4 linked regions of the Lepisosteus oculatus genome follow. The protein of the gene in region 4 purifies or fractionates together with the protein of the main gene of each other region. This does not show direct contact. Links are inferred from orthologs where the notes say so. Each region holds a gene or a part of one and is shown on either strand. Other genes may lie near its edges. The genes, in order: hdac3, skp2, cdk5 and ccnd1.

Region 1 (7,432 bases), on a different chromosome or scaffold from region 4:
ACAAATGAAATCAACAGAAAGAGACCCCTATCTCTGAAATGCGAACAATGCAGCCCATTTAACAAGGAAAATGGAGTGAACGACAGCCTGACTTGCACAATGGTCCTGGAAAGAGCTCGCGCTTTGAAACAAGTACTCAGTTGGGAGCAAATCCAGATGAGATGCACGTTCTCTCGTCGAAACCACCACAGCACCGAGCGGACCTGCATGCTCCTCTCCTGGCTGGGTGCACAGCTAACAAGAGCATTTTGCCTGGGCAGACAGTACCTTGTGGTTTAACTGCGTTGCTCCCTGCAGAGAGGCTCCCGTGTAGCGTGAGCAGAACTCAAACAGGCCAGGAAACACAGGACTGGGCAACGACAGGAGACAAGAGCATTAACTCACACATAACGGAGTACTGAGAATGACTCCACCACTCACCATCGTGATTATAACCATCGCAAGCAACTATTCTGCACCAGCAGCCCCAGGACATAGCAGGCCTCTTCTTCTCACAACGATGTCTTCTTTTTAAAATGTCTATAGGCTTGCTCCCATGTGAAGAAGCAAAACCAGATTGTAAGCCACGCGTGTTCAACTGAAAGAAACGTTCTGGACCAGAAGGCAGTTTTCTGTAGCTCAAGAACGAGGCTGTGAAACATGAGACACCAAGCTATAACCTATAGCCAAGTACAGACAAAAGCCCAATCAAGCAGGCAGATCCATTCAGGACAGCCTCTTCTTTCCACAGAGATGTCTTCTTTTTAAATGTCATCGTATTTCTATAGGCTATAGGCAGGACACACCCTGGTCGGGACACTAGTCCACCTCTGGTTAGACAGACTCAGAGACACACTCACACAGGGGGGTCAACTTTCCCAGAAGCCAATGTACTTCCCACTATGTTTCTGGACTGCGGGAGGAAACTGTACACATGTGCACACCGGGGGAACATGCAAACTCCACACAGACAGCGCACCAGATTCAGAATTGAACCCAGAGCCCCAGCTCTGCGAGTCACCAACTCTAACCATTGCGCCCACCGTGCTGCCTGCAGGCTTGCTAGCATATTTTCGTATTTGAAAAGACAAATATGTCCAAAGACAGAATAACACCCCTGTACTCACCAGTCATCCCCAACGTTGAAGGTGTTGAGACTTTTGGTGAAGCCCTGCATGTTGTTGGGACTGACCTTTTGCAGGAAGTCGATGTAATCTTCCGAGTGAAAGCGGCACATGTCATGTTGGGAGGCTTTGTATGGCTTGAACACCTGAGACAGACAAAGACTTCAAGGGCACTGTATACTGTACAAAGAGTACAAACACAGCCGGTGTGCAATGGTACCAAGGGGTCTGGATGCACATATATCCAACCAAGGGTTGTATATACAGATCATTACCTGTAAATACTCTGGATTTAAAAAAAGGCCCAACAATGCAAATACATATACATATTTATATAGATTCTTCTTTGAACATTAGCAGTTGCGGGCCCCTGACCTACACTGCCCTCCACATCTGCGCAGGCAACATCTACATTTCTACTCCAACTCCGTGTCAAACTCTGCCTCATGTGCAAACACTTCTGTAACTCCACACATTTTTTAGATCGTGTGGGCCAAAAACGCCTAAGGCATAAATTCATAACACACAAAATCATTAAAACCCCTTTCTTCAAATGAGATGAAACTCCTCACTGCCAAAATTAATCTTCACTTTGGGGAAAAAAACATACCATCATCTTCTTGTAGAGCCCATAGTGCAGAACAAGACTGTGGGTGAGAGAGAGTCGATGGGGTTTCATTGGGTGTCCAGCACCTTAAAAAGGGCACAACCAAAATGAAAGAATTATTCATTGGTATTGTAGAGTAAGTCAAACCAGAAGCGTAAACGTACAGAGGGTGGGAGAATGTGATGCGTTTGTCAATGAGAGAAAACTGCACATCGCCTGTCCTGGGAGACAACAATGTCCTTGGGTTTTCCTGTCCTGGATTCAGTGTTATTCCCAAGGCAAGATGTTGGTTCCAGGTGCCCTTGTTTTCTCCTACAGCTCAATCTCGGGCTTACACATTAACTGGCATTTCTACGATTTCCCCTGAGATGGACTGGAAATCCCTCATCAGTTCACCATGAAGCAATACTGCACTGAGCAGCTACTGTACATAAATGAACAAATTAGCGGTTTAAGCGGGATAAAAATGAAAGGGTTTGTCATCTTGTCAAAATTGATTATTAAAACCTTTCTTATTCAGCCTGTCGGGCCCAATACATACCTAAATAAGGATGTCAAAAGTAAAAGCAACACAACAATATATCCCTCGGTAATTTCTACCACAAGCTCTGCAGCCTTGTGACGGCACGAAAAGCTATCTTTCTTTAATTTGCCGGTTTTGATTTTTGTTTTTTGTTTGCTATGCGGAGGTACTGAAATACAAATCGACGATCCGGCCGTCCGGATGTTAAAATGAAAACGAGGCGCCTGTGCACTTCAGAACCGCACATGTCAATATGAAAGGAGCAGACATATTCTAAAATGAAAATGGGCACTGGAAATAATATTTACTGAAGGAGAGGAGCTGTCTGAGTGGGTTTGAACTTCATAAAGGCTTCTGCAACTACAGCTGTAAATTAGTATAATCACCTGCAAAGTTCAGAAGGGAGATATCGATCATCACTCGTATAAAAGTTCAGGACCGCTGATAAATTATTTCACGTAGTAAGTAAGACGGTGGAAAGCTGGGGCTAAGATCGGAAATTTAATGCAAACGATAAAATAACAGTAGCCACAAGCCCATCTTACCGTAATGAAAGTTCCCCACGTCTGGGTCGTAAAAATACGCCGTCCTGTTCGTCATCACAGCGGAAAACGAACAGAGAGTGTCGTCCAGACAGCAGTGAAGGCAGTCCTTCTTTTTTGTACTTAATTTTCAAGCAGGATTTCTAATTCACTCTAATTCAGCTTTCTTTTTAATTTACCAAATCGCCGCCATAGTAAAACACGGGAGACCTGTGCGGGACGTCATCAGAAACAGCAGATGGTGTACTACGTCACGAATATGCGTACGTATGTTTATGTGACGTAGACGTCGAAAGTGGCGGGGTCTCGTATTAAGGAACTTTCATTTCTATTCATGTTTAAAATTGCGATTAAGCGTTTAAACATCTTTGCCTCGATTACCGAATATAGAATAAAAATAATTTCTGATATCGGAAATATTTCAAATCGTATTCTTATCGGTATTTTATTTTTTTCATGAGAAATTCCGTTTTTATCGTTGCGCGTCAATATGTCAATATTTGATATATCAAATATTGATATCCGCGTGTTAAAACATATTGAAATCAAAATCTGGATATCAAAAAGCACAGGTGATGATTAGTTCATATAGAAACACCATACCCAAATATGTTCACACGGCAGATCTGAAGAAAGTTATAATCGCACCAATCTACTATAAGAAATCGATTTTTTTACATCGATAAACGAGTATTACATTTTATAACGACGTGTAATGTGAAATGAGTATAAATTCATATGAATCTTCAATCATATCTGACCATACTATCTTCTACATTTGTTCCCCACCCCCACGACCCTTGGTGCAAAGACATGCCTCCCGTGTCACGGTTTTAGCTGCTTTGCCACGTAGTTTTTACTCGTGTCCCCCGATTCGTGTTTCACTGTTCATTGTGAAGAAATGTTTTGGTTTACTTTTTCCAGCGCCTTTCACGATTTCGAGTGTCGGGTCCTCCTGTATTCCTGTATGTTTCAGAATGTGTTGTTCAAGTCTCTCTATAATATTATACTATATATGCTAACAAATTCTGTAACAAGACTTCGCTTACTGGTTGTATTTACATAACTTTTAAAGAACCAGGCAGCCCATCACTTCCTTGAATCGGACAAAGTTTAAATTCCGACTTTAAAAACGCACAGCTTAAAAAAGACACAGGTCCTGCGTCCCCCCTGTTCGAAGTCATTCTGAGGATAATAACTGTTAGGGGAGTCCCGTGAAGAATTTTGTTTTGCTCCTTACAATCTAGAACATGTTATCTCGGTGTAGTGGGGTCTAAAATAAGCGAAACCACCCAGATTTCACATAGCTGCAGCTACAGTAATATTACCAATTCAGTCTTGCACAGCAACTACAGTGCTGATAATAAACAACACAGCTGCCACCCTGAGAATGACAGAGATACTATCCTCTATCCTTTATGGTAAGGGGTTTTAAACTTCCAGGGGTGAATGAAACTGCCTTCTCTATTGATATATTTCTATGCTGTTACAATGTTTTCAAGTCGTTTTAAAGCTCTCCCTTATAGAGCTGGTCTGTGTATCGTCTAGTCAGGGCGAAAGTGCCACTACGTTTCCCATCGGGCGTATGACATTTAAACGAGTATTGTGTGTATTTATTGTGTGTGTGTGTGTATTTATGAGCAAGCAAAATATTTATGGAAAAATGAAAATGAAATGGTGAAAGGGAAAGAAACTGTCTTCAGGTGTCAAAATATGTATGGTTCATTCCTTAACCCTAAAAAAAAAAAACTACTTTTTAGACCACGCTGGATGTACACTTTTTGTGTAAGAGTGAGTCCCCCCCTTTTCATATAACGAAGCAAAAAAAAACATTAACTTGAAATGCTATCTTTTTCTTTACATGAATAAACTCTTTTAAACACGGAGCAATACCGATGTAGTCGATACATTCCAAAAAGGGCAGTTTTTCGTTTCAGAAGGAGACTGATCTCACAGTGCACGCTGAGGTTCATTTACAGTGAAACGGTAAAGCGAGACCAAAGCACAATATATGATGATAGATACGACCGGTGATGAAATCGTTTCTGAAGTGAGGGGGTTTGCATATCACAGAAATTGAAAGAGGGGCAGCTGGCCGCGTGTCTCCTTCCGCACGCAGCACTCCCATCCAAAGCTTTGAGGTTTTTTCCCTTTAAATAACTTGCAGGAGATTCTCTCCCTCCCTCGGTGCGCCTTCAGAGCAGCGCTCGTCCGGATCTCGGGAGCACCGCGCCGCTGGATGGTCCCGCACAGGAGCAGCGCCGTCCAGTTGTAAGCACCCGGTAAGCGCAGGTTCCTCCTCTCTTAATCTGCCGTTAGGACGAAAGGGGCGACTAGGGGGCTTCACTGAACAGCAGCCACTTGATCGGCGAGGCCAGCGGGCGTGCGGGGAAGGTGGGCGGATGAGAGAGCTGGGTGCCTTGGCTAGTGTTTGTGATGCGGGGCTGCAGGAGCAGGGAGAGACGGCTGTGTTCGTGAAGCAGAGGGCTCGTCTTGCAGTTCCGTCTCATCTCATCTTCGGGGCAGCAAACGACCATTAAGCATACTGTACTGCCTTTCCTATGACGTTCTTACGCCCCTCAGACTGAGATTTTTTTTAAAAAATATATATATATTTATAGGATTGTTTATTTTGAGTGGGAATGGAGAATGCTATTAATATTGAATTATACCCCCCCCACACACACGCAAACCATCCCACACTTCGCAGAGATAAAAAGAAACATGTTGAAACGGGCTTATTGGTGAGACATTGTGCCCGTATTTGTGACTGTCTTGCCACGGTATTAGACGGCTTTCAGCAGCGCCCTACTGATGCAGCCCACGGTGTCCCCGGAGTCTGACTCCAAGCCCAAGGGCAGGTGTGTCACCGGCCGCGCTGGGCCCACCAGATCATTATCAGGGATCAGAAACTTGGAAAAGATGCAGGCTGCAGCCTGCATCTCCCTAGACCCGCGCACGGTGTTGTTTTTCCTTCTCTTCCCACCCCTGGAGTCTCTCTCTCTCTTTTTTTTTTGTCATGGCGACGCGAGGTATTGGAAAGCAGTTAAGTGACAGGAAAACCTTTTTCTTTTTAAATAAAAAGACCTTGAACACCGTTTTCGTGTGACATCAGGGCGCGGAAATTAGGAGCGTGTCAGTGTGTGTGTGTGTGGTGGTGGGGGGCGGTGTATGTGAAACATTTAACAAACAAGGGTGGTTTTAGTGCAGAAGGGAGAAAGTTAACCCTTTCGATTTAATCTTCATTGAAAAGCAACGAAGCTAGATTCTCCGCAATTCGTGACGCCCGTAGCAAACAAATCATGAATTTGTACATAAAGATTTACGGTAATATTGTTTAAAATTAAACTGCCTGTTAATTTTATTATTATTAATAATAATAATAAATGACACATTGTAGCATTTATTATTTTCCAGTTGCATAACTCACAATGCAACTCTAGAATGAAGTTATTTCTCGCATTAGGGATTGATGGAATTTTTCCACAGCTGGCCACTGTGGTTGTCATGTGGATACTGTATTAAATCAAGGAACCAGACAAATTCTCATTTCCCAAGAATCCCTGACCGCTAACAGTCCTCACATGAGAAAAAGTACAGAGCAGACGGGATGCTGACCCCAGTCCATTCAGGCATTTTCAATTGGTGCCTGTGTGTCGTTTTTTTTAAATAATGATTTCAACTTTGCGTCTTAATGTTCACTAGGAGTGGAGGGTGTGGTTACAGTTGACTCCGGTTTGTACCTGCTTAGCCGCCTCCGTCTACTCTAAAGCATTCAGGATGTGATTTGAGAATACATTCTTCCTTACCCGTTTTGTTTGTGATTTGGTATACGACCATCATCAGTACGCTAAACGCGCCGAAAATATGTTTTACAAGGGCCGTGGGTTCATTTGGAAAATAATGCTGTTGTGCTCCAGGTACAGTACAGTACAGGCGGTTAGCCACGCCAGGCAATATAACACTTAAAACCCAAGGTCACCATTACTGGCACAACAACACATGCAAGTGTGCTTTATCGAAAGCCTGCGAAGATGTTTACAGGAGAAGCAATCTAATGCATCTGTATCTTTTGCACGGGCAGGGAGCTGCTGTAACTTTGCTTGGTTACAGTGTTTACTGTTACAGAGTTCTACTTCTCCAGCTGTATAGAATCTTACATGAGGACGAGGCACAGTCACAGGGAGCTCAAATGCTTACCATTTACCCTACAGTTGCTTAGACACCTCTGCACATTATGAAGCATTAATGAGCAGACTTCAGTGTTTCACAGCAACAGTAATTATGGTCGAGCCAGGACAGACAAGGGCAAACAGTGCTACCCCGAGGCCAGGCTGTGAAAGCTGAGCCCTGAAGGACAGACGCAGCTAAATCAGTTCATTAGAGATAAGAAGAACTGCTGTACATGCTGGGCAGTACTTAGCAAGACTTCATAATTAGCTCACTTACTGCTGGATATTTTATATTTTCAAATACAGGTGTAAAAAACAGTTTTCTGTTTTTAACCTTGGCTATAGAGGATGATGTTGCAATCTAACCTCTTGCTGTGGCAGTAATAATATCATCGTGATCACCCTCATCATCGACATCATGAACGCGTTTATTCCAGACAACGTCAGGGGCACACTGTTTCTGTTTTGGGACGAAATGTGTTGAA
Region 2 (7,308 bases), on a different chromosome or scaffold from region 4:
CAGCAGGAGCTCGTCTGGCAGGCTGTCCCAGGAGAACCCTGTCGGAGCAAAGAAGGGGGGTTAAGCTTGCTGAAGCTGAAAAGCCAGTTCCCAGGTAGCCATTTCGTGCTTGCATTCCAGGTCCCATTCCTCCCACTCCCAGTTGCTAATGACTGACGAGGGAGGGGAGATAACACTACCAAGGTTCCTTCACCAGCCACAGAAGGATCATGCAAAGTAGGATCCATCAAAATGAGTTTTTTTTCTTTTCCTGCTTCCTTTTTGGCGTTTAAGATACCTAGAGACCACAGTGAGGAAAAACTAAAAACAGGCCTGTCATTCTGAGTGGCCTAATTTCTCTCCTCTTCCCTCTCCCACAGACACTACCCCTGACCCTACCTGCCCAGATTCTCTCCCCTTCTCTTTCCCGCTAACCCTACCTGTCTGTTCCTTCTTCCTCCAAGGCCTCCTGGCCAAGACAAACACGGCCTCTTCATTCTCCTTCCCCCGGCATATCCTCTGCTGTTTGCGAGGAGGGGACCAGCTGTGAATGAGGTCCTGAGGGGTGTTCTCATTGTCCATATCCGACTGGACCCCCTTCTTCCCCCCCTGCGATGTGGACAGTGTCCAGTCTGGCAGATTCCCACTCATGGAAGGCAGCTCCTGGAGGTGTCTTCTGCAACATCAACGAGGGAGAAAAACAAGCTAGGAAACTATTTTTTTTAAATCTAAATCGGGATCACACGTTGAAAGAAAAAGCCTTTTGAGGAGTACAATAATGGCATTCCCAAGCACCCAAAGCGATGTCGTCAACAGTGTCGTTCTCTTCCATGCTCTCTTTGAGTGGAAGCAGTCAAACCTCGATCTAGACTCTGGACACGGACATCCCACCCACATTTTCATCTACCATCAGACTAACGAAATCTGTCATCCTCCAGCCAGCCCACAAAATACAGTACACAGAGGACTCACGGCCAGCAGGCTTCTGTGGGTTTTAGGTACTGTTCACTTTTGCGCACTACTGTGCACACTGTGCACAGCAAAAAACTGGAATGAGCTACGGATCCAAAGTTCAAAACAATAAATCGAATGGCAAAATACGCCAACGCACACCAGCACGCAATATTTGCCAACAAACGTACCTACAGAATGTTGTGGCAGAATTCTGAACCTTTGCTCAAATGTATAATGAACATTCACCCACTGGTACAAAGCGTTTTGAGAAAATTCATATTTTAGTCCACTAGCAAGCCTGTTATATTCACTAACAACATCCTATTGCAGCGATCTCCAGCCCTGATCCTGAAGAGCAAAAGTCTACAGTGTTTTTATCCAGCCTTTAAATCATCTGTTACTAAAGGAACCATGATCAGTAAGACGGGTTCAATTAAGAGTTTTTAAGACATCATTTGGAACAATAATCAATATTCTGCAGCCCTCCAGGACCAGTGTTCCCTCTATTTGAACATTACTTGCTTAATTGTTCCAATGCTTAAAGAAGTGGTCCCAATCTTTAAATAACAGACAATTAAGTATGACATATAAGAATAACTAGACTGGGGCTCTTAAGGGCTGGGAATGGAGACCTAACATACCAACTGTTAAAACACACCAAAACCTCCTTCACTACTCATGTAGCTCCACATGACAAAACCAGACCTATCCACAACATGCAGATAAGCCAACATTTCATAGATTTCCACGTACTTGCAGCATTTTCCACTTTCTGATCTAATTCAGCTGACACCTTTCAACCATCCATCCATTTTCGAAACTGTTTTATGCAATACAGGGTCAGCAAGCAACAGGCACTACGCGGGGTACACCATGAAACACACTCAGAATTGTTTTTGCATTGCAACAATAATTGTTCTAATCATTCCTTCTGATTATATAGCGCCTTTCACCCCGCTGGATCCTAAAGCGCTTCACATCCAGGATGTGACCCACTTCCTCCACCACTGAACATGCGGCTACCACCACGTGCCAGCCGCCTCACAACACAGCAAGCCGAGTTCAGAACAGAACTTCAGGTAGATCAAACATTAACTAAAAACCCGGAATGTAATTTAAGTAGAACTAACATCCCTACTCTCACCAGTACTAAGGGATCACAGTCAGGACCTAGGTTTACCGTCTCTTCGGCACTAACTACGAGTCCCTAGTCATTGCATATATGGTAGGACCGATGTTCGCAAATGAAAAATATAGGTACATATAAAAAGGTATTTTTAATTAACATCAGTGACTTATAGTACTGTGTAGCCCGCCCTAATACAAAGCGTCATCGCTTACCCCACATTGCCTTGCTACATATAAAAAATTATTTCCCAAATCCCATGCATAAACAACCATTTATTACACAGATGTCATTTTACCTTGCAACACATCAATTGCGTATTGTGAATTAATTGCATTCTTTCACTTGTCTTTTGTTCGGGCCGACTCACCCTAAGCTGAGAGCGCGCGCTTGCGCGACGACCGTAAAGCAAAGTGCTGCCAAGAGCCGGCGACCCAGTGATGCCGGCAGGAGAAAAAAAAACAGATCCCGTTTTCGATCGACCATCAATGTGTATGCTCCGCTCACTTGAGTGCAATATGAAATCAACTTGAAAAACAGCAGCCGTAACCCCTACTGCGTCGCAAACTTGAATTGGACAGGCATATCGGCAAAGCAGCATGTACTGCAAAACACGTTCGTTTTACTACATCGACGCAGATTTTCTGCATATCATGCAATGATTTACATTCAACCAGTATATATCATATAAGCTTCTAGCCTTGAGCAGTCCTGTTTATTTCCCATGTCTCAGGCAATCATAATCATCACTCATCTCACACCACGTCTACTTTCTTAATAATATGCTGCCCAAAACGAACACGCAAAATCCTTCTAGGGAACCAGGATCTCCCGTTTACCTTTCTTTAGACATGTTCCCTTTGTGTCCGTCAGATTTATCAGAATTCTCAATATTGTTTCCACGCACAAGCAAGCGGGATTAATTTTAAACCTCCCGCTTGGTTGCCCGCCTTCGTGCTTGTAATACTGAGCGCTTTGGGAAAACGAGGAAGGAAGTGACTCGTGATTGGTTGTTTTCGCACGTCTGCACGCTGCGAAAACAAGGTGACGTCTGGCTGCGCATTCTGCGCTCAGTGTTGCACAAACTGTAGCTCACGCCTTCGCGCAATTCGCTGTTTGACTCCCATAGTGAGCCTGAGATGATATAGATATAATTATATCAATAGTGAGCCAATATCAATATAGTGAGCCTGAGATGATATTGGGATAATGATATTATACAGTAGGTTATAGAATATATCTAATGCACTGTGTTATATGCATTATCTAATAAAAGTTATAATTTAATGTTTTTTGACGTCGTCCTTTGTGATAGTTTTTTTTAGATAAACAAATGCACATTTCACTAAGAAACATTTTCTCCGCCGCGTCGGAGAACATGCTTGTTTTTTTTTTAATCGTGGTTAGTTTTCGCTGTCCTGGCGGCTCACTCTGACGTCACACGCAGGATCCCCACAGCCGGCTGCGCTGGCTGCCCGCGCGGCTCTAGATGTGCCTGTGCGCTGCCTCTGTCATCTCACGGTTCGTGTCTGTATTGCATCGTCCGTCTACCTTTTGTATTTTGTAAGAACATATAATGTATTGGTATTTTATGTTGTATTATTTTCCTATATGATTTTTTTAATGTATATTATAACAATCTGTATAAAGCTGCCATTTGTTGTTCATCGCTTTCAGTTGAAATAATAAAGGAAAAATAACTCATTTAATTAATAGTCATATTACACAAGTGTGGTCGAATTAGGACCATAATGGTTTAGGCAAGTTGCATTTCAGTAGTGGATAAAGTGTTTTTTCCTCCCAAATATACATATGAATGGTGTTTATAGAGGCAATGTATTAATAATTTTAATCTAAAACCATATTAAAACTATTGACAAAGTTTGTGTAACTTTAAAGTACACTGGCATATCATGTACAACGATTATTATGAAGAACGCACAAGAAATTGTCTTTAAAACCGGAGGCACTTCTATACAAGAAGGATGGAGAGTGGAACAAGCTACTTCGCCATGCTTTTGAAGCCGATACACATGGCTTCTTTGAAATAAAAATGTCTAAATAAGAACCTCGGATCAATTAAGAACAAGCACTCAAACAGGCCAGAGGGGCAGAATAGCACAGGACCTTTGCTATATGCTGTTGTTTTACACTCCTTGAACCGTAACAGGAAAATACGTATGCCGAATTCTCAGACTGGCGCTCGCAACTGTCGCCGGTCTATGACGTAAAATAGCGACCGTTTTACAATGGATTATAGGAAATGTAGTTTGTCTGCCACTTTCCCTTCGAAATAACACTCAGGGCAGACTACAATGACTCCATCTCCTATAATGCTCTTTCACGTTTGCACAAGGTAGGAAGCGAACAGGATGTGACGTTGATGCTTTATGGTACACGCATATCTGAGAATTGGTGCAATATAGTAATTCTGTCTTATACAAGGGAGTGTTGGGAGCCGGGTTCCGGGAGATTTTTGTTAAGGATACGAGCCATTGGAGGTAAGGGACTGGTTTTTTTCATTAGCGACAGGGTAAATTACTCTGCGGATCATTTGAAAGTAGGTTACCATTAAAAGGTCAAGAAAAATATAAAAAATACCGTTCTTTCGCTGTAGAAGGTAGGTGCCCAATGAATTGTTTTATAACAATTATAACCGTGCCATCGCTTCGGCAGATGCCCAGTAAAATAAGGAGAAATGAGGCGCTTTGTAATGTGCTGATCCTCGCCAGCATTTGTTATGGTAACGCATAGAAACAAGCAGCCGTGTATAAGGGGAACTGAAGTTTCCAGTGTTCGGCTTTTTCACTGTGCTGTTTCTTGCTTGCCCGTTAGTCTGTGCCGGTGTGTAACTCCACGGAGCACAGCTTGTGAAACCGCACGTCTTCTGGTCTGCTTTCAAAGATCTTACTATGACGATTTGTTTTTGAGAGTTGGAGGTTTGAGAATTTTGGTCACTGAGCCGGCAGCGCCGCTAACGGGAAGAGCAGATGACAGCTGCACGAAAGTAAACGGTAGGGTCGGGGGCATTTCGTCAGAAAGACAGCTCCAGGCCGCTGCTGTGAAAGCCTGTGCTGTCAGGTATGACGTGCGCACACGGAGTTCAGAATGGGTGTGTATACGCTGGCTTTTCCCTTTTCTCTTGTTGCTATGTGCTCGTCCTTTCACATTCTTCATTGTTTTTAAACAGCATATACTTTCTGTTGTGCGAGAGTCACAGGATCAACCGGAATCTGACCTTGCCCCGTCTCATGCTTACTGTGAATGGACTCTTCCATACGGGAAGGAGAGACATGCTTAAATGTTGTAAACCCACTTTTTATTCACATTTAGAACACATTGCCTTTCACTAATTGAATTCTATGAAATATTTCATTTATTCGGATGAGCCATTTCGACGGTAAAGGCAATACTCAACAAACCCAGTTCATTTGCTTTACAGCAGCAAAGGTTGATTGGAAATACAGGACATGCTTGATATTTATTCATGCTATACAGTGTCATGTGTGGAAATATTTTTAGTTTGTGAACAAACAGGTGAAAAGTGAAGAGGAGAAATGGGAGAATCATTTGAAGGTGAAGGGAGAAGGATCTTGGAAGCTAACATAATCATGTCCCAGAAGAGAGAGAGCCCTTCTCGGTAAAGGAATGTAGCGATATCAATAGACAGATAATAGAAATTGTGCTGCCTTTTTTTTTTCTGGGAATGAAGTTTAGAAGCCTGTGGTTGTTTCAGATGACTCCTGTCATGTGGCTCGGGCAGTGTCTGAAGGTCTGGGGCTGTGTGGACAGCTGAAAGATAAAGGAGTCTCCAAGTTGTTCACAGCATGTGTCACATGCTCTAAAGAAGAGGTCCCAGGTGGGCGCTGTGTGGAGTAACCTGGAAGCAATCGAAATCTTCCCTTTGGCCATACTTTATGTGTGCTTTTGTCTTCAAATTTCTTAAGTGGAAAGTACCTTAATCTTCTGTTTCGGGGAAAAAGAGAACAGTTAGACTAACAGTCAACGACTGTGCTGGCCTTACAAGCCCATCTGTGTGCTGCTTTTTCACCCGGATTCTCTCGTGTGGCTCATGCTTTACTTCGAAAGTGGGGAAATTGACAATATGTAGTTCAAGGAAGTAGCTGCGTCAGCATGAGTCGGCTGCAAAGGAACACGTGAAGGTTTAAAAGGAACAAGTAAAGGTTTATTCCGTGCTGAAAAGAGAAGAAAGGAAACGCAACGTGTTTTTTTTTCGGGTGTCCTGCGTGGAAATGACGATGTGTGCCAGCAGGGGGCGGATTCTTTCACTCGCCATCGGGGAGAACAGCTGGACCTGCAGTGAAAGAAGTGACGTGAGCAGAAGGCCAGGCGACGTCCCCCATCAGCTGGGATGAGAATAGAGGTTCAGTGGTGAACCTCTACTCCTGTGACCTGTGAACCTGTGACCTGTGAATTGCCATGGAATGGCAGGGAGTGTGATAGTGTCCTTTGGAGAAGGGCGGGAGTACGGGGTGGATTGTGTCCTGTAGCTGTGCCTTTCTCAGCTTCTCGCAAGGACTGCTTGCTTGTTTTCTGTTGGCATAATTTTGTGGGGGTGGGGGTAAGCAGAATGAAATTGTGCAGGTGCCTCACCCACCCCTGCACCACCCTGCCACTGGGCATCGCCACTGGCAACTTCAGCCCAGGGAGGGGTGGAGAGGGCGCCGATGGGACACAGATGACAGCTGTCATCATTTCATCATCAAACCAGTAGCATCACCACTCTATTCCCTCGCCAGTCTTCACTTGAGTAGCTCATTAATCATTTAAGTGATATTCAGCTGCAGCTCTTTCCGCAGAGAGCTGTCTCCAATTTAACCAGCACCAAAACATTAATACATAATAAGTAATGTTATTGTTATTCCTTTATATTTCATGCGTATGTATTTTGCATTATATTGATGTGCTTGTTGTTACGGTTGAAATATCTCATTATTTGTAGTGGCTTCTTTAATAAAATGCTCTCAGATTTATTGTGTGAAAAGGCGGCTTGTGCCATTTTATAAAATGGTTACTTATTTTAAACACTCGCTTAAAAGATTGTTGCCCGTGTGGCCGAATTGGTATCCATAGATATCCAAACTTAGCCAGAAATGTAGATTGGAAATATCTTTTAGAGTGACCATTGTATCCCTTTCTGAGTCTGGGGACACCAAGGATGTTTGGGTCAACATACTGAGCAATTGGACCTCCTTGTATCTTTGCATGTATGTACACAATGTGAGAAG
Region 3 (7,563 bases), on a different chromosome or scaffold from region 4:
ATTTACATTATGTTTTGTGCAGTTGTTGAATTGAAACCCAATTCTTTTAAAATAGAGTTTGTGGTATTGTTTGAATGGTTTATTCTTCATATTATCCCACATACAGTATTACAATTACTTCACTTTCCCCTTTAAACAACAACATTTTTCTAGTGAAGTTCTACAAGAACTGTAGTTTCTATCTATAATTTTAGTACTTGCATATTTTGCAGGTAGAGCGGTTGAACAGCCACTGTGTTTTAGTATATATATGTGTTTTTAAATCAGGGAAAGGCTAAGAGTGTTATCATTAAATTGCAAGTGAATATACTTTAGATAGAAAAATATACTGCAGTTACCCTATAACATCTATTACATTACAAACCCAGGTCCCACAGCTAGTCCCCTGACTTGTAAGAGGTATTCAAACTAGAGATCAGAAGCATTGGGTCACAAAAACATATATATCGGCCAATCTGGGCCTGCTAAATTAAGAAAGGCATTCTTAATTGTAGTTCAATGAGTGTTGCTCACCTCAGAATCTGAGAGGAGCTACATGTTAAGTTACAGTATGATTACAACTTCTATACATTCAGAATTTGAATGTCAGACAAACAACAATTTAAATGTTATAAGAATCACAAAATGATAAGTTCTTGTTACCTAGAAACAAACAAACCTGCAGGAGCACCACATAATTTACATTCCAATATCAAGCTTCAGATACAAACATGATTCAACACAACACCATTAAACAAGTCTGTTTCATGCCAGTTAATAACTGAAGAAATCAAAAACCACTTACCTAACTATATTTTTATGTTTTAGTTCTTTCAACAAGCAAATTTCTCGCAATGCTGAACTTGGAACACCCTGAAAAATTAGAGACATAATACTAATACATAAGAGGCATAATATGTATAAACATGGTAAATTTAAGTCACTATGGATAAAGTTTCAAACTGCATTCTGAGTTTTGTAATTCTATTATTAAATTAATTGTAACTGCATCACACAGCAAATTTTATGCTTTTGTCTAAACTCTTAATAGCACCTGAATGTAACAAATAATCTGTTGTGAATCTATCATGAAATTTACCAGAGAGAAAACACATGATAATTTTCAGTACCTCACTTGGTATGCACTAGAAAAGAAAATAACCAGTTCATACCTCATCGTCGTCGTCTAACCGTACTCTTTTCAGAGCTACAATCTCATGAGTTTCTCTGTTTTTGGCTTTAAAGACTGTTCCATATGTACCTGTATGAATATAAATAAAAGACAAAGAAGAAATAGTTGCTTTTAGAAAAATTGGAAACAAAGGGTAGAAGTATCAATTGGGAAGTAATCTTACAATGACTTCCAAATGAGACAGGGAACTATGTTTATTAATAATGATTATATCTTGAAGGCAGAATACATAACTGTATTTGCTTCTTCAAAACAAATATCTGGTTAATTTAGTATTTATATAACGGGAAAACTTTTATTGCAATGAAAAACATGATGGTAGCCTTACCATGTAAGGAAGGAGATCAAAATAAAACAAGCATGCAGTGAAACCAGCTGTGTTTAATTGCCACGTGAGATTGCTGTTACAAATAGGCAGCTGCAATACCCGAAGCTATGGAGAATGATGATTTGTTTTCATCGGAGGCAGAACACTAAAAAGGATACACAGGCGTTCTCTTTTATCGCGTATTCCTTTAAGAATATACGACCGAGAGACCGAGATAAAGTTTCCAGTTTCTTACGTTTGTATGTACAGGATAACTGTCCGTGCCCATTTGTAGGTTTTCTTCATGCCAAAACTACAGTAAAACTACGAATTCTGAAGTGTTATTTGTTTCGGAAGAGACAAGTCAGTAAGCAGATATATCTTGTTTGATAACTGTCCCCCCTAATAGTATTATATCAATAACTTTCCCAGGTTACTAACACATCCCGAAGTATATCGGTTCCCATGGAAACATTTCATGTGTGGGAATTTTTAGTTTAATAGCTTTAGACGAGCAGAACAATTCATTATGATTATAGATGCAGTATATACATATTGTTCAACAAACATTAGACGAGATTTTAGCAGATGAAATAGTGGCAATTAAAAGCACTCAACATTTAAAACAGTTTGAAAAACAACATTGCTTGCTTCTATACCGATTTAATCATCTTTTTATATTAGAAATGCGTTTTGTTATCATCAGTTACACTCTAAGTCCAACTACGCTTGGGCCTCAGGAAAAAGGTTTAAAATAATAGAACTACTAGGATATTATTTTACATTTATACTAACTAAGATAATAAAGACATCTGCTATAATGCGGTTCAGGCTAATTACAAATAAATAAAGCGCTAATAATTTACCATCTTTTACCACAGGACAGGTTTTAAAAAATCATTAATATAATGCTAAAAAGGAGCGGATTAGCTATATTTCTATATATATAAAAAGATTCTACAGATAATTTTAAATGGAAATAATCTAAAGCTGAATTGACAGCCCACAAAACAGCGGATCAAACAAACGAAAAATGTTATCTTACCGATTCAGAGTGAGATGAAATGTCATTATAAATTTTAAACAAAAAGCTAAGAATAGTTTCATTCATTCCCGTCGATAAATAAGAACCGACGACCTTTGAATCACGAAAATGACCATCAGAAAGAATTGCCTGTAACCAACCTGCTTTGCCCAAACTCCGCATTAGCTTTTACGCGAGGCCCGGGGCTTCTGATGGCAGCGTAGGCCACAGTCGTACGGAGATTTAAATAAACTGACTACAAGAAGAATTAACAGGGTTTCATCGCACACAAAACAATAAAAACGCACAACTACATATATCTGATCTAACAAATGTGCATTGTCTCTTACCTTCTCCAATCTTCTCAAGTTTCTCATATTTCTGCATTTTCTGTTCAAATTATATATATGTATGTTTTGTTTTCTCCCAGGATTAATTTCAAGGGAGGTTTTGCAATAAATTTTGAATGTAAGACTACAACAAACTGAGACATCTATTGGCAGAAAAATGAATTGCATGACTACAAAATCTGTCACCACCCTGAACTACAAGCGACAGCGAATGTGACGGACTGGCAAAGGTGTTGTTCATACAGTACATTTTCCGTGTACATACATTTTTTTTTTTGCTAAATCTTATTAAATTCTTTGGAATTTCATTGTCACATAGAACAGTTAATGGAAGTTAAAACTGCATCTTGTTGGTACAACCCTGGTTCTCTACAAGCAACGAAGCAATGATTTCCCATCCGCTACTGTGATGATCACTCCTTTTTACTTGCAACAGACTCCGAAACAAATACCATGGTTTCTGCACTTTACAAATGCTCGTCTAATATTCAGATACTGATGCAACAGATCTTTCTTGGAATAAAATGAATACATTTGTAGGTTTCCAATATTAACAAAGTTGATAAATTAATTGATGGTACTGAAATAAACCCCTTTGATGTACTTCAGAAACATTGGTGTTTCTTTTGTTTCTCGTGTTATTTGAAACATTTCAGTAACACTGACAGTTGGTGACTCCTCCAAGTTTTATGGGTGCTAAGACCCTTATCCCCCACAACACTGTCTTTTTCAACCTAGAACCAGTTCATCGACCCCAGTGTACATAAGTAATCCTACATTATATCCCAATTTATTACAGCCTATCAAGCTATCCATCTCACACAGCCCATGACTCAGAATATCCAAGGGACACACACTCATAGACCATATGAACAAGATGGACCCAAAAAAGATGGATCTGTCCAGGATCACTGTTCTCCAAAACCAGCTTAAGTCGGTGACTGGGAGTGCCTCCTTCCACTACAGCGAAGAACGTCTTTGTAATCCTTCGATGGTCTTTGGCGTCCTCTTCAACTCCAACCATCCTGAACATTGTGGTCTCTCATGTTCCCCTTTGCCCTGATTTGTCTATGTCCAGTTTTGGGTGGGGGAGAGGAGTAGACAACACAGAAGCCTTCCTCTGCTGCTCGCTAGAGACTCCCTGGTGTCCACATCCTCTCCTAGGTCCACGGCTGCAACCTGTGTCCTCCTCAATTTTTCCATCTTGAACTGTTTTCTGAGTTCTCCTAACTGGGACTAAACAATCTCTCCTAGAAAGGGCTCAGGATTCCTTCTTAAGGGAGGTGGAAGTGTCACAATGATGGCGCCTTTGAACTGTGTGGTACAGTAATTAAGGAGTGTGTGGTAAATAACGAGCGCGTATGCTGAAAGGACCTTTGCTCAATGTAAGGAAGCTCAGAGACCAAGGATAGATAATGCATCAATTGGCCATTCTCTGCAAAATTAAAGTCAACTTTGTCCTTGATACCTGTTGGCCCCGCACTCATTTTTTCCACTCAACAATAGCAGAAGTATAATCCTTCTTCCAACCATGTAACACTGCTGTTAAAACACTTTCGCTGCCTGTCCAATACTAAATGATTTATACAAGTCTTTATTTAATCAAGATTAGACAACTATAATACTATAGTTAATAATAATATAGTACTATAGCACGTGTATTTTAATTGAGGTACTAAACAGACTTCTGTAAACTCATAATCTAATACAAGTATGTACTTGCATTACCAAAAGTCTATATTCACACCACCTATACTTAGAAGAAGAAAATGGAATGCTTTTTCTCAGATTAAAATTTGAAAACTGCACTATATTAAAATACACATCTGATTGTAACTCTAACATTTGGAATAAAATAGTATAGACACAACAGAGTAAAATAAAACATATAATTATTAAACTGCATTTATATAGCCCTTTTCACTTTAAAGGATCCACCTTAACCACCAGAGCAACAGCACCCACCTGTGTGAAGTCCACATCTGTTAAATTCCAGTAGCACTGCCACCCAACATATCAAGAGGAAAACTGAAAAATAGCTCTACTAATTGAATCAAGAGTTGTGGTAGGCTGTATTGGGTAAGCCTAGAGTAGAACTGAGCTGGGGCTCATGAGTTAACACCCTGATCCTACCATGATTGCCACAGGATCGTTTAATGGCCAGCAGCTATATTACCCTGCAACTCACAACTGGCAGCCCATTGAAACTAAGCAGGTGTGAGCCCGGTCAGTCCCTGGATGGGAGACCTCCTGGAAAAACTAAGGTTGCTGATGGAAGAGGTGTTAGTGGTCCAGCAGGGGGTGCTTGCTCTGCAGTCTGTGTGGGTCCTAATGCCCCAGTATATTGAGAGGGACACTATACTGTAAAAAGGCACTGTCTTTTGGATAAGATGTAAAACCAAGGTCCTGGCTTTCTGTGATCATTAAAAATCCCAGGGCGTCTCTTGAAAAGAGTAGGGGTGTTACCCTGGTGTCCTGGCCAAATTTCCCATTTGGCCTTTACCAATCATGGCCTCCTAATAATCCCCATCTATGAACTGGCTTCATCATTCTGTTCTCCTCCCCACTAATAGTTGATGTGTGGCTGCTATGGCTGCTGTTACATCATCCAGGTGGGGCTACACATTGGTGATGGTGTAGAGGGGACCCCATTACCTGTAAAGCTCTTTGAGTGGAGTGTCCAGAAAAGTGCTATATAAGTGTGAGCTATTATTATTAATGTAATAATAATAACAACAACAACAACAATAATGATTATCAGGATCTAAGTTTAAGGTCTCATCCAAAGTCTCTCAATCATCAAGAAATGGAAGGCACCTTGTATCACCCAGAGAACTTCTGAGATCAGGTTGTATCTTCATACTGAGTAGATGAGCAAGGGATGCTACCACGAGGTTAATGGCAACTTTGAAAGAACTGCACAGCTCAATAGCTTAGATAGAACAAAATGAGCAGTGATGAGTGAAGAAAAAAATAGATGGAACAAAACACAAGCAAATCTTAGAAGAAAACCTGCCTTAATCTACTAAAGACTTAAACAAGTTATTGGATAACAGGTCATCTTTCAGCAGGATAATTGAAACAATTGCAATTGCAAAAGAATTGCTGCCAAAGGTGCTACCACCAAATATTGAATTCATGGGGCTGAATACTTAGGCAATCAATATGTTTAAGATTTATTTGTTTTAGTTTTTGCTGACATTTACAGTAGCTTATCTTAACCCTAAACATCTGCTGTATCAGCACTGATTTTTAAAAAATTAGAGCTTAAAAAATGTGTATACTGTACATCCATTTTTATTTCACAAAATGGGACACCACAAGAAGGGTCTGAATACTTTTGCAAGGTCCTGTACACACACTATGTCATTGGTCTATTAAGTGGACGTAGATGCTAATTCTAACTCCTTAAGGTAGAATACTTTCCCGTCCTTCAAGATATCATTACTGTATTTTAAACACGATGGTCCTGTAAATGTAATACAAAGTCAAAGAGGAAACAGAGAAATCATTTTATACTTTTCCAAAATTACTCAACACCTAACTTCTTAGGGTTGAAAAAGTTGTCAAGTTTAATTATCCAAAAAAATAAAGCAAAACTCAAGCAATAATTCTTCCTGTTCAATGGTTTTCATAAATTACTGCTGACAAACTCCTGTAGTGTTTTCATCGCTGTCTGCTTTTAAGGGATATACCTTCTTTTATAGTTCAAAAATTATAATCAGTATTGTACAAACTTTTTAACTTCATGATTACATTAAACTAGATCTTCAAACATTTCCAATGATATTTCAAAACCAAAAGAAAAATGCATTTTTGGACAAACATTCTCAAAGCAGGTAGACATTTTACTGCTCTGATTTTTCCCATCATGGTCAATAATTTCTTACAAGATTGTAGGATATGAACTGTCAGTAAGTGAAATCGATCTGAAAAGAAATTGATTTAGAAGGCAAAGACAAAGATCAACTGTTGATTAAAATCTTCTGTAGACTATGCTACTTTAGATTCATTTCTTTCCCTCTGTCCTCTGTCTTTGAGTCAGATCTGCGTACAGTCCACCTTTCTTCAGAAGTTCAGAATGTGTACCAGCCTTAGGAAAGACAAAAAAAGAACAACATCTCTTTTTCAGTGTTGCAAGATGAAGACATTAAGCAAACCACACAATGTTCAGTCTAAAGTTGGACTGAAAGTGGTTATTAAAGCAGTTAAGGTTTAAACTAATTCTCTTCTAATTAATTAAATGAATCCAACAGCCATTCTTGGATTTACGCCTATCAGTACAATCTTGTTTTAAGAGAACATTTATTTCAGTTTTTAGAGAATATTACAGATCCTCTCAGTTCTAGAAGTATGAGCTTGTCAGATTTAAGACAATATTTGATATTAGAATCACAAATTAATCATGTCCCTGAAATTAGTAATTAGTTTTGTCTTTCTATTCTGTAAAAACCCTGATGTTTAACAAATCCTTTAGTTAAGATATGTTATCTTGTCCATGAACACAGTTTTTTGGGAACAAGTACTCATTTTTTCAATACGGTATCTCCTGTATCCCGAATTACACAGTCTTCACTGATCCCCCAGGTCTACAGCTAAAAAGAACAGTGCAATTCAGTTTTATTCTTTGTTAACCTCTACTGAGAAACTTTCTGCCCCTCTTACCTCCGTGACGCTCCCGTTGCTCAACACACAGATGAGATCGGCTCCC
Region 4 (6,956 bases):
ACATAGTAATATACAGTAACCTTTATATAATATTATTTCTAAGCGTATAACCACTTTAAGGTTATATAGGACATTTAATAATCATCAAATTCTAGATTGTACTTGAATTTGTTGACCAAGTCTGGAAAGATAAAATGAACCTTCCAGTTTTTTTCCCTTCTAATATACCACTGAGGGATACTACAAGGAATTTATTTTAAACAATTAGCTGTATGCCAACAGGAAATGTGATGTATCTTACCATTCTCCAACATCTCCAAACAAAATTACCATCAAAAAACACCTTGAATTTCCAGCAACTTACATGAGATTTTTACTTTCACTTCTTTTGTCCCTGAGGATAGATCAACATGCACCTTTTTATGGAATGAAAAACACACAGGTATAATATAATTACATGAATTTCCCACCTTAGATAATTGTATTGGTAACCACAAAATGCACAGTGAAACATCTGAAATATGTGTGGCAATAAAATGTAACTTGGGCTTTTCATTGTAATTAGAATATTAAACATATACAGAATGTAGCATACATTGCATTTAAAATAGAAAAATAAATCGTACATTTACAAAAGCTCACTAGTTTAGCATTCAAAAGCATTGTGGTTTGCCTTCAGTTTCGCTATGAAAGAAAAGCATGTGACAAACTGTGAACAGAGTTAACCTTCAACAAAACCATTCTCGCAAAATCTTTTAAACTAAAACTAAAAACAAATCTTGAGAGGATGCCTCCAAATCCAAAACCATGTAATAATTGTTTGAAGAGGAATTTTTTATAAAAAACAAATCTTTACCTGGTAACTTTGCACTCAAACATTAATAAATTACACATGCTCCCACGGTGCTAACACACACTAGTTGGCTTGTACTTTCATACATGAGTATGTGATCTCAATTACATAAGTACATCTTTTAAAATATAAATAAATTCACATTTTTGGATTATTAAAATACAGCATATGGTTTAGTACTATTTTTAAACTTTAGAATGTAAATTATCACAACTTGTGGCGACTTTTAACAAAATTTGATTGGTTAAGCCATTCCTCTACCTTCTTCAATGACTGTATAGTATAATACAAAATATAAATATTTTTATAGGACACGTTAAGAAGAGTTTAGGTTTAATTTCCATTACTAAAATGCACGTTTGGAATGAGGACTTTTAATGTTTTCCAGCTTTCCATATTGTATTACATTGATTGAATTGTGTACTGAGTTATTCAAATAAAACTTTTCATAAGTTTCATAGTACTGTGTTAGTGAGACTAGGAGACTGTGAGGACTACATTATAAACTCTCATTATCCCATGATTTAGCCTTCCCAGGGTGATCAAAGTGCGCTTTGAATGCACTGCACCTTTAAATACTTCCCAACTTCGGTTTTATTTCCTGTCCATTTACCGTAGTGAATAAAATAGAATGTTTTATAAAAGAAAATGAGCATGTGCGTTTTCTGATAAATAAGTTAGTAAACTTACAATGAAGATAGAATGAGAAATATTTTACAAAATAATTAACTTGAAAAGTGGTTTCAAAGCGTAATCTGTAGTATTTTTTAAAATCAGCTTGAAAAAACATTTTCAAAATACATCTGCCTTGTAACCTCAAACATCTTGTGGACTCTTACCTTGTGACAGTATTGTTTGCAGTTTGTTTTAATTGTGCATTTGCTGCCTGATGTTAAAAAATAAACGAAATACTCAAAACCTGGATGCAACCCTTCATATTGTGCTCCATAATTTATCTTAATTACCATTTTGAACTGCAAAACTATTTTCGGAATCAAAGAAATATATTGTTTGCTTTTTATGCATTCTCCACAAATACAATCTATAATCAAATTATCAGATTTTCAAATAAACGTTTAAATAATTTCAAATATTGGAACATTCCAAAAACTGTAATTACTCACTGTAGATGCATTTCCTTCTTAGATGTTGTCAACTTTTAAAATGCGTGTATTTTACATATTTTACGGCAAAAGGAAACCCATGTGGGCTTGTTAACATGGGTACAGATTGGAATGCCAGGAATGTAGACTTCATTTATGTTCAAGCGACAGTGGGCTACTTTAAAGTGACAGCGTGCAATATTTAAAGATACCTACGTAATCTGCATATATTTATTATTCCTTTGTAAGCAGATGCACTCACAATACTGTATTTTAGTATTCAAGAGATACTTTAAGGTTTTATAAAAATTACAAAGTAATTTTCTGCTTTCGAGATACATGAAGGAATTAATACTCGCAGGACCTTTTTAGTTTTTCTAAGTTTCACTGGGCCATCCAGAAGTCCTGGTCTTCAGAAGGATCTTTTATGGTACATCTGAAATCAGTCGTGTTTCATTGCAGTAATCTAGAGTTATACCAATTTAAAAACGATTGGATTATCACAGCATTTTACGTGCATGTGATTGAAGAGTTCATTTTTTGTTGCAAATACTTTTAAGACTCGTACTGCATTACAGACCACATTTGAGCAAATAATGCAATTTATGCAGGTATTTAGGTTATTATTTTAATTTATTGTAGATATGTATAGATAATTATCAATTTAAATATGTTTTGTGGTAGTATTTTGTATTTAAGAAATGGTAATATTGTATTACATCTGTGTAAATTGTGCGTGGCAAACGTTACCTTACATACCTTACATGCGACAAGGCAATATTAAACTAATTTCTACTCATCTTAAATGGGGCAATGCAAGTAACTCAAACATCACCTGAGATATTCCTTTGCAAAACACAATGGCACTTACGACTAAAATATATCTTCAAATGTAGAGAATATGTAACATGTTTTTCATTGAGACCACGTGGCTTCGGGTCTACAAGTAAAAATAATTTTGCCTAGATTAATTCTCTAACCAGTGTAAGGCTATGTCTTTAAAAACGCACTTAAATGCTTTAAAATGTTGCATTGCCTAAAAACAGTACAATAGCATCTGTGCCAAATTTATACAAACGGGTAGTTACGAGCCGATAACATAAGTACACGTTTACATTTGACATCGCCACCGGAAACTTTCCACTTTTGATAATGTGTGAAAGTTTTTAAACCTTCCCTAACAACTGCACCACAAGAAACACTGGAGTTCCTGCTTCAGTTTCTGCCTGGTAACAGAACACTCCCCCATTGGTTTAAGCTAATTTCAGTGTCCTCCCATTGTGAAAGGAGGGAGTTGGGGATGTTCCTCCGAAATTACTGCCAAGTTTTTTCAAGTTGGCGAGTTCGTTTATCCAATATTGCCACACGCAGAAAGGAGATAGATCTGCACTTTTTATAAAGACAGTACATGCCGCTTTAAAAAGACATATTCCTGAGCCATTACTCCGTCGTGACCAAAGGAAATACAGGATTAAATCCATCTGCCAACTGTATATTAATAGGCCCATGTATAAGAGATATAGTTAAACAGTTAAAAAAGTTATTACTTTGTTAATAGTGGTTTAGTTTGCATTGTCTCAAATATACGGAAAATGGTTGAAGAACGTGGTACAAAGAAAGCAAGAGTCATTCATTTTTAGAATAAAGGCAACATTCAACGGCTAGCCATCTAAATATGCCTCAGTATTTGTTTTTGTATACTAAATATACAAAATAGTTTTATCTGCACTACAATTATAATAGTGCAGAATACACGTTTTAAGATAATAATAGTGCACACAGCTGTAGATTTACACCTCCCCTGTTTCTCGTATTTGCCTGTGTTTTGTGTTCTATAAAAAAAGGAAATGAAAGTGGTATGGGGGACTGTAATGAAAATAAAAAAATTCTCCTGAAGGACAATTTCGTGAATGTGTCTATTATCCATCCCCCCCCTCCTCACACACAGCTACCCCAATCCGATGTACCCCCGCCTCCCTCCTCTGGACCCCCCTGCAATACACTCTCAGCGCCGCCACCATGAAAAAGGACCTCCCCATTTCCATACCTAAGCAAAGCTCAGCGATGGGAAGGACTACGAACTTATATGGGATAGCTCTTTAAGACTTACTCTCCTCTCTGAGGCCTCTTTCTCTCTCATGCTCGGAGTGGCTTTGATCTTTCCTTAACAACAGTAACGTCATTGCTTAGTACAGAACTAAAGGGGAGTTCTGTTGAGGACTGCGAAGTTTTGGAGCCGCCAGAGGGCTTGAGCAGCAGCAGCAGCAGCAACAGCAACAGCGAAACAGCATCCAAGAAACTTGCTCAGCGCTCCGTCTGAATCCTTCGAAAGTCCAAAGCTTAAAAAAGTGCAGAGACATGGAACACCAGCTGCTGTGTTGTGAAGTAGAGACCATCAGGAGAGCTTACCAAGATGTCAACCTCCTTAATGACAGAGTGCTACAGACAATGCTAAAAGCTGAAGAGAACTATCTTCCTTCTGCAAACTACTTCAAATGTGTTCAGAAAGAAATTGTGCCTTATATGAGGAAAATTGTTGCCACATGGATGCTTGAGGTTTGTGTGAAAAAAGAAATAAATCTGTATGTTTATATTCTGCAAGCTTTCTGTCCTGACTTTTCGCTCTGCCCTTTGGACCTAATCAAATGCACTGCAAATGAGGAATTATATAAAATAGAAATTTAATCCAGTTCACGTTTTTCCTCCACCTACTATTGTATGTCTGCATAATTGTTTTGTATATCGTTGTGCTATTTGTTCACCACTTCGTTGCAATGTTTTTTTATTTTTTCTTTTTTTCTGGCTTCTTTCACATACGGAGGTGATTTTATCAATACTTTTATTTGTAGTACAACACGGGTATTGTGGTATTAAACTTTCGTTTATTCTTTAACCCTAGGAGCTTTCTAAATTATTTTATTTTAATTTATTTTAAATTAATATCAATGTACACGTATGCAGTGCAACTCGTGCCAGTAATATGCGCCATCTTTGTTCTCGTGCGGTAAAGTATTTAATATATTAAAATTTCTATAATAATCAGATGATTGAAGAAAATGTCATGAATATAACAAAATACAGTTACTTAAGCTATTCGTATAATTTAATGGTGATTTGAATATTAAAAGGGTACGTTTCTTTGTTAAAAGTTTTTACAGAGCTATACAACCATGCTTCAGCAGCAGTATTTGGAAAGGCTGTTGCTAAATTACGTTAAAAAATACCTGTAGTTATATTAGAAGTCGTTCCAAAAATTTAGCAGTCGAAAAGAAGACTAAATTTGCAACATTTACATAGTTTTAATATTTACATTTTCCAATTATTTCTATTTTTTATTAATTTTTGAAATTGCGCGTCATGACGATACCGAAATGTCGCATGCTCATTCCAGAAAAGCGATGTGCTATAATTTTAGTTCTTTTTACTTATAATTTGCGCTAAACATCGTAAATTCTCGATACCAACTGATAAAGTACACGTTGCAGGTCATTACCATGCCATTTTTATGCTCTGTAATAATTTTAAAATATTTTTAAATATTTTTTGAAAAGATGACGAACTACAAAATTCTTAGGGTACGTCGCTTGGGACGCCACCTTTGTGTCTTGGAAAAAAACGTCTGCAAAAAAGGAACAAAAACTAATGATAATTTCCGTACTGTTCAATAAAATTGTTTTAGTTTTGCCAAATGTATAACTTAATACAAGTTTAGAAAAGAATAAAACTGATATATAGCTATTATATACAGTGGGCATAGGATAGCTTGCAGAAAGCAACAGTTTTCCGTTTGCAAATATAAATGTCAAAAGTTTTCATATTTTGATTTTGTTAAAACAGTGTATTGATTCAGACACACAGCATTTAAAGCATTTGTGTGTTGTTTCTTATTTTATTTTCTATTTGATTTCAGGTCTGCGAAGAGCAGAAATGCGAAGAGGAGGTGTTTCCTTTGGCTATGAATTATCTGGACAGATTTTTGTCGGTGGAACCCACTAAGAAAACCAGATTACAATTACTGGGAGCTACGTGTATGTTTTTGGCTTCAAAAATGAAGGAAACCATTCCGCTAACTGCAGAGAAATTGTGCATTTACACCGACAATTCAATCAGACCCAGCGAGTTATTGGTAATTTAAAATCAACACACTTATTTTCCTCTTAGAGATTTAATAAGGAAATAGTAACGCTGCTTTTTTAAAACCTGTAATGCATATCATTTGTAATGCATTCTTGCAGAATGTTATCGATTTTTTAATGTCACTGACTTACAGTTGTGATAAATGTTCGACATTGGTTGTATTACGTATATATCTATGATATCATACAGCGTCTTCTTTAAAAAATCGCAGGTATATTTTCACATATATTAATAAACTATCAATTTTGTCTTAAATCAGTACTGTATGAGAATACTTTAAGATTCTGATACTTAATTTTACCAATTTCTTTTCCGCTGGTAATACGTGTGGCAAGAGCTCCCTCTTGCGGTAGAAAGAAGCCCGTGACGAACATCTCTGAGCATACAGTATTCCAATTTAGAGCTGTGAAGTGCCAGAATAACCTTCTCACGCTAATGCGTGCTGGACAACAACGCGTTTCTTGATGGAAATTCGCAGGCCATTACTTTAAATTGATTTCATTTTATGTTCTTTTCCACAGCAAATGGAACTACTGGTGTTAAATAAGCTGAAATGGGATCTTGCTTCAGTGACGCCTCATGATTTCATTGAACATTTCCTTTCCAAACTGCCCATCCACATGGACACCAAGCAAATTCTTCGCAAACACGCGCAGACTTTTGTGGCTCTTTGTGCAACAGGTACGCACGGGGAACTGTGAGCTATCCACACTGGAAATGTCGTCATAACGTGAAATATCCACATATGTGATAAACCGCATGTGCAGTGGTGCAGGAATATTATACATTGCAGTATGTTTTTGGTATGGGTAACTTAAGCATTGGCAAAAAGTGTTTGTTTTAATATATTTCCCATTCGTTAACCCACAGATGACGTCTATTTTACATTAAGCTTTCACTTTGTACTGTACGTTGATTTAGTT

The links.
Region 1: the proteins of ccnd1 (region 4) and hdac3 purify together in Homo sapiens (affinity purification with western blotting; 5 studies listed by BioGRID and IntAct, with this or other methods). This does not show direct contact. The link is inferred for Lepisosteus oculatus from reciprocal best matches to the Homo sapiens genes CCND1 and HDAC3.
Region 2: the proteins of ccnd1 (region 4) and skp2 purify together in Homo sapiens (affinity purification with western blotting; 3 studies listed by BioGRID, with this or other methods). This does not show direct contact. The link is inferred for Lepisosteus oculatus from reciprocal best matches to the Homo sapiens genes CCND1 and SKP2.
Region 3: the proteins of ccnd1 (region 4) and cdk5 purify together in Homo sapiens (co-immunoprecipitation; 4 studies listed by BioGRID and IntAct, counting the BioPlex papers as one, with this or other methods). This does not show direct contact. The link is inferred for Lepisosteus oculatus from reciprocal best matches to the Homo sapiens genes CCND1 and CDK5.

The regions. Positions count from the first base shown.
Region 1 is NC_090706.1:38,473,145-38,480,576, forward strand, and holds the start of hdac3 (histone deacetylase 3), read right to left. Parts: upstream 3,018-7,432; 5' UTR 2,834-3,017; coding exon 2,779-2,833; intron 1,797-2,778; coding exon 1,714-1,796; intron 1,250-1,713; coding exon 1,107-1,249; intron 350-1,106; coding exon 268-349; intron 1-267. UniProt on the Homo sapiens protein: Histone deacetylase that catalyzes the deacetylation of lysine residues on the N-terminal part of the core histones (H2A, H2B, H3 and H4), and some other non-histone substrates.
Region 2 is NC_090698.1:15,353,433-15,360,740, reverse strand, and holds the start of skp2 (S-phase kinase-associated protein 2), read right to left. Parts: upstream 3,025-7,308; 5' UTR 2,913-3,024; coding exon 2,899-2,912; intron 2,469-2,898; exon of another isoform or gene 2,358-2,468; intron 656-2,357; coding exon 420-655; intron 39-419; coding exon 1-38. UniProt on the Homo sapiens protein: Substrate recognition component of a SCF (SKP1-CUL1-F-box protein) E3 ubiquitin-protein ligase complex which mediates the ubiquitination and subsequent proteasomal degradation of target proteins involved in cell cycle progression, signal transduction and transcription.
Region 3 is NC_090701.1:30,515,122-30,522,684, reverse strand, and holds the start of cdk5 (cyclin-dependent kinase 5), read right to left. Parts: upstream 3,007-7,563; 5' UTR 2,890-3,006; coding exon 2,853-2,889; intron 2,753-2,852; exon of another isoform or gene 2,686-2,752; coding exon of another isoform or gene 2,664-2,685; intron 1,241-2,663; coding exon 1,152-1,240; intron 853-1,151; coding exon 785-852; intron 1-784. Other genes in the region: abcb8 (mitochondrial potassium channel ATP-binding subunit), read right to left, coding at 6,862-6,945, 7,518-7,563. UniProt on the Homo sapiens protein: Proline-directed serine/threonine-protein kinase essential for neuronal cell cycle arrest and differentiation and may be involved in apoptotic cell death in neuronal diseases by triggering abortive cell cycle re-entry. Interacts with D1 and D3-type G1 cyclins.
Region 4 is NC_090716.1:5,510,200-5,517,155, forward strand, and holds the start of ccnd1 (G1/S-specific cyclin-D1), read left to right. Parts: upstream 1-3,943; 5' UTR 3,944-4,254; coding exon 4,255-4,452; intron 4,453-5,806; coding exon 5,807-6,022; intron 6,023-6,554; coding exon 6,555-6,714; intron 6,715-6,956. UniProt on the Homo sapiens protein: Regulatory component of the cyclin D1-CDK4 (DC) complex that phosphorylates and inhibits members of the retinoblastoma (RB) protein family including RB1 and regulates the cell-cycle during G(1)/S transition.